Linked DNA regions of Macaca mulatta. The protein of the gene in region 2 binds, or shares a complex with, the protein of the main gene of each other region. Links are inferred from orthologs where the notes say so. Each region holds a gene or a part of one and is shown on either strand. Other genes may lie near its edges.

What was found.
Region 1: the proteins of BCAP31 (region 2) and FIS1 are in contact, whole or in part, in a crystal structure (PDB 8XWX), measured with the Homo sapiens proteins. The link is inferred for Macaca mulatta from reciprocal best matches to the Homo sapiens genes BCAP31 and FIS1. Residues at the interface, in NP_001132913.1 of Homo sapiens: Asp224, Leu227, Glu228, Ala231, Lys232, Ala235; in NP_057152.2 of Homo sapiens: Arg52, Val56, Glu59, Glu60, Pro63, Lys64, Lys89.

What each region holds. Positions count from the first base shown.
Region 1 is NC_133408.1:48,509,826-48,513,825, forward strand, and holds the start of FIS1 (mitochondrial fission 1 protein), read right to left. Parts: upstream 2,809-4,000; 5' UTR 2,715-2,808; coding exon 2,670-2,714; intron 1,833-2,669; coding exon 1,700-1,832; coding exon of another isoform or gene 1,656-1,699; intron 1-1,655. UniProt on the Homo sapiens protein: Involved in the fragmentation of the mitochondrial network and its perinuclear clustering. Plays a minor role in the recruitment and association of the fission mediator dynamin-related protein 1 (DNM1L) to the mitochondrial surface and mitochondrial fission.
Region 2 is NC_133426.1:159,935,080-159,939,391, forward strand, and holds the end of BCAP31 (B-cell receptor-associated protein 31), read right to left. Parts: intron 4,135-4,312; coding exon 3,999-4,134; intron 3,100-3,998; coding exon 2,976-3,099; intron 2,145-2,975; coding exon 2,044-2,144; intron 1,004-2,043; coding exon 965-1,003; 3' UTR 523-964; downstream 1-522. UniProt on the Homo sapiens protein: Functions as a chaperone protein. Is one of the most abundant endoplasmic reticulum (ER) proteins.

The sequences.
Region 1 (4,000 bases), on a different chromosome or scaffold from region 2:
GCCTGGCCCCACCTAACTTTCTTAATTCAGAGACTTCCCAGAGGATAACTGTACTCTATGCACTAGAATTTGTTGATAATCACTTAGAGAGGCTGTTTCTTCTACAGCTACACCCTGCTGTAGAATAAACCTGAAAATCTGAATTGCCAAAGTAGACAAACATAGGGTAAAATTATTTGTATCTTTTAAGAAAGAATATTTTATAGATTTTTTTTTTCCTTTGAGACGGAGTCTCGTTCTGTTGCCCAGGCTGGAGTGCAATGGCGTGATCTTGGCTCACTGCAACCTGTCTCCCGAGTTCAAGTGATTCTCCTGCCTCAGCCTCCTGAGTAGCTGGGATTACAGGTGCGCGCCCAGCTAATTTTCGTATTTTTAGTAGAGACGGTTTCACCATGTTGATCAGGCTGGTCTTGAACTCCTGACCTCGTGATCGGCCTGCCTTGGCCTCCCAAAGTGCTGGGATTACAGGTGTGAGTCACTGCGCCTGGCCATTTTTATAGATTTTCAATAGGCATCCTTTGCTAGCACAGTTGGCATTCTGTATTCATGGATTCAACGAACATGGATCAAAGATACTCAGGGAAAAAAAAAAAGATAGTTGCATATGTACTGAACATGAACAGATCTTTTTTTTTTTTGCCATTATTCCCTAAACAATACAGTATACTATTTACACAGCATTTACATTGTATTTGGTATTATAAGTAATCTACAGATGATTGAAAGTATGTAGGAGAAGGTGCACAGGTTACATGTAAATACCACACCATTTTATATAAGGGACTTGGATGGCTATTGGTATTTGTGGGGCAGGGTTCCTAGAACCAATCCCCCATGGCTACAGAGGGATGGCTGTACACTGACTGTGTGCTTATAAATGATTACTTGAACAAAAGAAAGGAGGTACAGAGAAATTAAGTGGTTAAGTATTGTGGTCTCTGACAAATGATGACCCACACAAAACCAATGGGAAATAGGGGTCCAATCCAAAAAGCACTATCTGGCTGGACGCGGTGTCTCACACCTGTAATCCCAACACTTTGGGAGGCCGAGGTGGGCAGATCACCTGAGGTCAGGAGTTCGAGACCAGCCTGACCAACAAGGTGAAACCCTGTTCCTACTAAAAATACAAAAATTAGCCGGGCATGGTAGTGGGCGCCTGTTGTTGAGGCAGGAGAATTGCTTGAACCGGGAGGGGGCGGCTGCAGTGAGCTGAGACAGCACCACTGTACTCCAGCCTGGAGGACAGAGCAAGACTCCGTCTCAAACAAAAAAAACAAAAAGCACTATGTGCTCACAATTTTGTAGGACAGTCCTCTGGACCTCTTCCATGCCACAAAAGATTCTCAATAGCTGCTAACTAAGCAACACGGTGGTGGTGTTGGGGGGAAGGGCATGGGCCTAGGTCTCACAAAACGGGAGCTTCTAGTCCCAATTCAGCCATGAACTTATTAGTTGCGTGACCTCAAGTCACTTTCCCAGATCAAGATAGTCCTGGGGGAAATGACAAGCTACGACTCCGTCTGGCAAAACAATGGTGGGCGGTAAGTAGCCAAAAGTTCACTGGGAGACGTCAAGCTAAGTATAGCCCTTGGTGCAGTAAATCTACGGGAGACAACTGAGAGGTGCCTGGACTACGGGGGCCCACATCGTACAGCAGCCCAGATGGCAGCGGGAAGGGGAGAGTACAGCGCCTCACCCTCGAGCAGCACGATGCCTTTACGGATGTCATCATTGTACTTGCTCCGCACCAGGCACCAGGCGTACTCAAACTGCGTGCTCTTGGACACCGAGCCTGCTGCCTTCTCAGACTGAAATTTCTTTTCAAATTTCTGCCACAGGGGAAGAAAGGAATCATTTAGAAATGAAGGGCGTCAACCATTCTCTATCTGGACATGGTGTCAGTCACACCCCATATCCCTGGCTCTGCCTCCTTTCCCTCGTGGGTCTCGGTATCTGGCACCCCAGCGTCTGCTATCTCCATGCACGGGACCCAGGCTTTCGGCTCCTCCTGGCCTGTGGGCCAGCTCTTGGGACAGATGCCCCTGGTCTCCCCTCCCCCCGGCGGTACCGAGCGGAGATGCCACCTGGTGGCAGCTCCAGGCACCGCTCCCGGAGCAGCTGACCCCGGCGGCCAAACAGTAAACACACTGTCAGAACTGCTCAACAACAGCCCACGCGGTCCTCATTTGAGCCTGCTGGCCCCATCCTGCCCCACCCTGCCGGGCCTGGACCTTTTACTGTCCAGGAATAGAAGTAGTGCCTACCTCCTAGAGCTACAAGGACTGAGATCTGGCATGCGATGCCTTAGCACCGCGCCGGACGCAGTAATAGGTGACGCCTTCTGATGGTCACTGTATTCCTCCACCGCTGGAGGAGCGCCCTGAGCTCACAGCTCCTGCATAATCCCAGAACCCGTCAGTCTAACCACTGTCGGGCAACAGGCCCGTACTCTGAGGTGTGGGGGCTCAGGACACTACAACTCCCAGGAGCCTCTGCGGCATAGCGGGCCCTCCGGGCAGGAGCCAGACACTGTGGAGGCTGCCGGGAGCCGTAGTTCGGCTTCCCTCCGCCAAGCCGATGCCGGGAGGAGGGTTCGGCCCATACCTGACTCTCCTCAGGACCCGCCCTCCGACCTTCCCTTTCCCTCTGTCCGGGCCAGGCCTCACCAGCAGGTCCTCCACAGACACCAGCTCGTTCAGCACGGCCTCCATGGCCACTGCCCCCGTGAGCCTCACACTACAATCTACTGTGCCACAGTCTCCATGGCCCAGTGGCAGGGGCGGAGAGCCACTTCCGGCGTCCGGCGGATGCGGGCACGACCTGGCGACGCCCCGCCCCTTCCTCTCAGCGCAGCAGGGCCAGCGGGACGCTAGTACGCAGGCTCCTCCGGCCCCTTCAGCCCGCAGACTGCACGTAGGGAGACTTTCCCCAGATGGGTCTTCCCGGATGCCCTAGCCGGTGCCTTCCTCCGCGGAGGCTTCCCGAGGGAAACTGGAGGCTATGTCTTAGCGGTTAGCCCCCAGGATGAAAAGAGCAAAAAGCGGAGGGTGGGTAGCCAGTCGGAGATCACTTTACATTAGGCTGCCAAGCTGACGCCCCTCAGAAATCTAGGACTTTGGAGGCCACGTGACTTTTCACCGCCTGCAACAAAATCGTAACTAGAACTGGGGACCGAGCCCGTGGCTCACGCCTGTAACCCCAACACCTTGGGAGGCCGTGGCGGGAAGATCGCTGGAGGCCAGGAGTTCAAGACCAGCCTGAGCAACACAGCGAGACCCTATCTTTACAAAATGTTTTAAAAAATTAACCACCGTGGTGGCGTGCACCTGTACTCCCAGCTACTGGGGCGGCTGAGGCAGGAGGATCGCTTGAGCCCAGGAGTTTGAGGCTGCACTCCACTGCACTCCAGCTTGGGCGACTGAGACCTTGTCTCAAAAAACCCACCAACAGCAGCAAACTAGTATCGGGGTTTCTTGGGCCTCTGCTGACTCTCACGATGCAAGAGCAGAGGCAACTGGATCTGTAAACCACACAGCCAGAGATTGGGGTAGTCATAGGAGATACTATCAACAGGAAGTTTTTCAAAAAGCAACGGCCCCATTCTTTGCGGAGAAGGTCCAATCTTTTCAATATTATTTACATAAACCATTTTCTGAGTGCACCCCAGGCGGGAAACCTGCCACATGGGGTCACGGGCAATGGGGAGCTTAGCAGAGACGAGCTATCAGAGCATGGGAAGGAGAAAGGTGTGGACACATCTGGCTTCAGTTTCTGTGCAGTGAGGGGACTGGGTAGGTAGTAACTTTCTTTTTTTTTTTTTTTTTTTTTGAGACGGAGTCTCACGCTGTTGCCCAGGCTGGAGTGCAGTGGCGCGATCTCTGCTCACTGCAAGCTCCGCCTCCTGGGTTCACGCCATTCTCCTGCCTCAGCCTCCTGAGTAGCTAGGACTACAGGCGCCCGCCACCGCGCCCGTCTAATTTTTTGTATTTTTAGTAGA
Region 2 (4,312 bases):
GTGGCAGGCACACACCCAATACGTTCTCAGGGCCGGGGGCCCCAGCCCATTCCCAGCCCCTTTCTGCCTAGCTCTGCCCTGGGCCAGCTCCAGGTCACTGCCAAGGACAAGTCTCCTCTCCCAGCTGGCATTAGTCAGAGGTCATCCTGCAAACCTTCAGGAGGGGGTGGGGCAGGGAGTGACTAGTGGCGTTCTGCCACGTTCTGTCTGTCCCAAATGTGACGAACAGGAACCCAGAGAAGGCAAGCGAGTCCTCTACCCGGAAGCCCCGCCGCTTTACTGAGCCTCCCAAGCTGCCCACACCCAGGGAGGCAGACAGGACACACACTCGGCGGGTGGCCCTGAAGCGAGGCCTGGCCCGGCCCAGGGAGCAGGAGGGCAGACAGGGCAGGGCCTTTGAGAACAGGTGTGAGCCTGGCCTTCAGTGGGGGAAACAGGTTGAAGGGCTGTGGCCGCTTGGGGGCTCCGGGCAGGAGAGGAAGCAGAGCCCTCCCCACAGCCGCAGTCACACAACACACCACGTACACACCATGACAACATTTATTGCCCTCAAGAGAAACTCCAGTCCACCTGCTCCACCCACCCTCCTGCGGGACCAAAGAAAACACCCAGAGGGCAAAACTAAAAGGGCTCAACCCAACAGGAAGTCAGCCCCACCGCAAGCCAGACTACAACTAACTCGTGCCCTCCACGCTCAGGCGTGGAAGCCAGGGCTGCGCCAGGCCTGGCCAGGCCAAGCCAAACAGGATGACAGCAAATGCATTCTGAACGTGTTGCAATCAGGTCCCCTGTAATGTGCTGGGAGAGTGTGGACGGGCCGAGATGATGAGCTATGAGCTGTGGAAGGGAATGGGGGAAGCAGAAGGGCACAAACAGAAGTACTGGAGGAAGAGGCTGGGCTCTCAGGAAGCAGCAGGCACGTGCCAGGTGGAAGCCAGCTGCAGGCAGGGGAGGAAGGAGGCCCTTACTCTTCCTTCTTGTCCATGGGACCATCTACTGCAGCCTGGAAAGGGACAGAAATCCCACAGCAGTAGGTTGGTTGGGTCCACTCCTCCCCTGCCACCTCCAGCCCCATGCCCCAGAGGTCCAGCTCAGTTCTCCTATCTCCTAACAACAGCTGAATTCAATTAAGCAAGGGGCCCCCTCCTCAGCTGTACCCAAAGGCCTGCCAGGGTGGGAGCGTCAGCCCTGGCCCACCCTCTAGGATAGGGAAAGCCCTGGACCTAACGCCAGCCAGGGAGGACTGCCAGTACCTCACTGGGGGCTGAGTCCTGGCTGCAGGGAACAGCAAGGCATCCAGTCCCCTTGAAGACCTGATCAGGCCCTTCCCAACTCTGCACAACTTTGACAGGTGCCCTCGAAGCCCAAGTCCCATTCGCCAAGCCTGCCCCATACAGAGGGCATGGGTGCCCCCTCTGAGGCTGGACCCTTCCTCCCCATCTGCTGTGGTGCCCAAACTTGGGCCACCAAGCACTGATGCCAGGTGTCCAAAGTTGGGAGTATTTACGTGGCCCTCACTCCCAACGTCAAGACCTCCTGGGCTTCCAGATGCAGCCCGGTGCACCCAAGCTAATCTGAGGACTCGGATCAGGCCTAGGGCAGCAGGCGATGGCAACAACTAGTGCCTGCTGGGGGAGGTGCCTTTTTGACACCTTATGCCCTCACTTGCCCAGGGATGTTTGCCCAACATCACCCCCCCAGTGCTCTAGGAAAGAAAGCCACCAGTGGGTCCTAGAGTTTCACCTGCTTCTCTGTTCTTGACGGGGCCCCAAACCATGGACTGAACCTGAGCACAAAGGTAGGAAGGCTCAGAGCCTAGTGAGCCAGTGCCACTCCTGAGGGCCGCCTCGGCAAGTGCCTACATCTGCTGCCAGGCCACCCTCTCCTGTCCGGTGAAGAGTCCCACTCAGCAGGGCAGAGGTGGCCAGGGGGAGTCGGGGATAGGGCAGCCGGCCCCTCGGCCCCTGGAAGGTTCCCTCCCCACCCGTGGGGCTGCCTCATCCTGCTGTTCTGTCCTGGGCACAGTGACACGGGAGGACTGACCTGCAGCTTTGCGTGTTCCTCCAGCAGGCGGTCGTACTCCTTGGTGAGGCCCTCAGACTGCTTCCGCATGGCCAGAACCTGGTTTTCAGCTTTCTCTAATTCTTGAAATGATGTAAATGACCAAGAAAACAGAAATGAAAAGACCAGAATTAGGGGGAAAAAAAACAACTGCTACAGACATAAGAAACTGGCCCAAATCCATCTCAAAGGAGGTTGTACAGGAGACTATACAGGAGACTACTTCTCAAAGCCCCTCTGCTTTTGCAGGTCCCCAAAGTAGAAGGAAAGGGCTGACAAAAAAGCTAGATAAAGCAAAAGAAATACAGAGGATGTCCCCCAGTCCCTTTCATGGAGGGGAACTCTAGTGGCTTTCTGCAGGGGTAACCTCCAGGGAGGCTGAGAGTGGGAAACAGGGAGCAAGATCCCAGCCTGAAAGCGACACCCAATGACAACCATGTCTTGCAGACAGCAGCAGCAGGCGAGGCCTGTGATGTTGGGGGAAAATGCCCCAGACTTAGTCTATGCATGGGAGACCAAAGATAGGCAGGCCGCTCGGGAGCCGCCCACTCCCCTCCTGAACGCCACTCACACACTCCCCTCATTCTCAGCCCCCAGGCATGCTGGGGCTACCACGCCACACTGTGGACAGGAAAACCCCAGTGTGCATTGCTCTAGCATGGGGCAATCGAGGCCCACCAGCTGCAGCCTGGTTCCTCCTGAGCCCCATTCAAACCACTTAGCCTCACTGGCCTGAGGGCTAAGCATGACTGCATTGGGGATGGAGGCACAGGGTGCTATTTGTTTGTTTTCAGCCAGCCCTCCAGCGTGCATGCAAGGCTTGTTACTAATAGTTTGGCACAAAATGGGCAGCAGCAGGCAGAGGAGGCTCCTCTGGACTTCCCTCCAGGTAAGGACACAAGGTCGAGCCTCACTTTGCTTAGTGCTGGCCAGCTCATCATTTAGCTTCTGCAGGTCAGCCTTCAGGCTCCTGTTCTCTGCCTCCAACTTCACCTCAGCATTCCCGACATCCAACTTGCCTCCGTCAACAGCAGCTCCCTGGGAAAAGTGCCAAAGGCCAAGGTTACTCAGGAGGGAGGGAGGGAGAGGCTCCAGCCCCATCCTCCCCACCGAGATGCGGTTCCTCAAGCTGCCCTGGCGACTCGCCCCTTCGGAAATGTCAACGCAGAACCGAGCCACCACTTGCTCCCAGCTCCTAGGCAAAGGCCAGGGCGTGGCTGCCAGCCGAGGGAAAGAGAAGCGCCAGCGGGGCCACCTGCTGCAGCTCGCCAGGCACGCCTTGTCTGCCCTGGCCCCTGGCCCTGCCTCCTTCCTGAGCAGCAGGGCTCACCAGCTCCATGGTGCTCACCAACCCCTCCACGGATGATGGTGCCTTCTGCTCCCCACGTGGTGCCGTTTGCTGCCGTAAGGAGCCCGCTGTCTGCCTGGCCAGCTCTATCCCACTTCTGCATCCACATCCCTCCAAGCTTGGCTCGCAGCTCGCCTCCTGACAGGATGTCTAGGACTTGCCAACCACTCTGCCCCCACCTCCTCTCCAGCACTGAGGGATGCCACAGACCCCATGTTCCAGAGGGGGTGCGGCAATCTTGCAGGGAACAAGGGCCTAGCTGAGGGCCTTCAGTTCACACAGAGGGCCTGGCTCACTGAGGGGCCGTTTTTCTCAGGGAAGGGTCTGACTGGAAGCAGTGGATGGAAATGAGAGCAGCAACACCCTCCTCCTCACCCGGACCCTCGTACACAGACACCTCCAGCGGGCATACCCTCCCCATCGAGGACTTCCCCTCTGTGCCTCCACCCAACTCTGGTTTTTCAGGCAGTGGAAGTTTCATACATTTCCCAGCGTGACTGGCTAGCAGTGGCCACTGAGGCCCTACAGAACGTGGCTCCCACGGTGTAACACCAGGGCGCCCCATGGCGGGTCAGGAAGCTGGGCTCACCTTCTTGAGCTGGTCATTCTCCTCCATGTACTTCTTGGCCGCCTCACTAGCACTCTCTGCCTGCTTTTTAAAGGCTTCATTAGAGGCCAGCAGTGTGGCCTGCTGCGAGATGAGAGTCACCAGGCGTCTAAGCAGGCTGCAATTATTTACAAAAAGAAGGGAGAACTGAGAAAAAGAGCATGAAGCGCTGGCAGGAGCACCTCCTGGTTGCTCCCACCCCACACCTGGTTCCAGCCTGGGCCTGCCTTCTTGCCAAGGCAGCCGAGCGAGAAGCCGCCAACCTGGTGCTGGCAGCGGGTGGGAAAAGGTGGGGC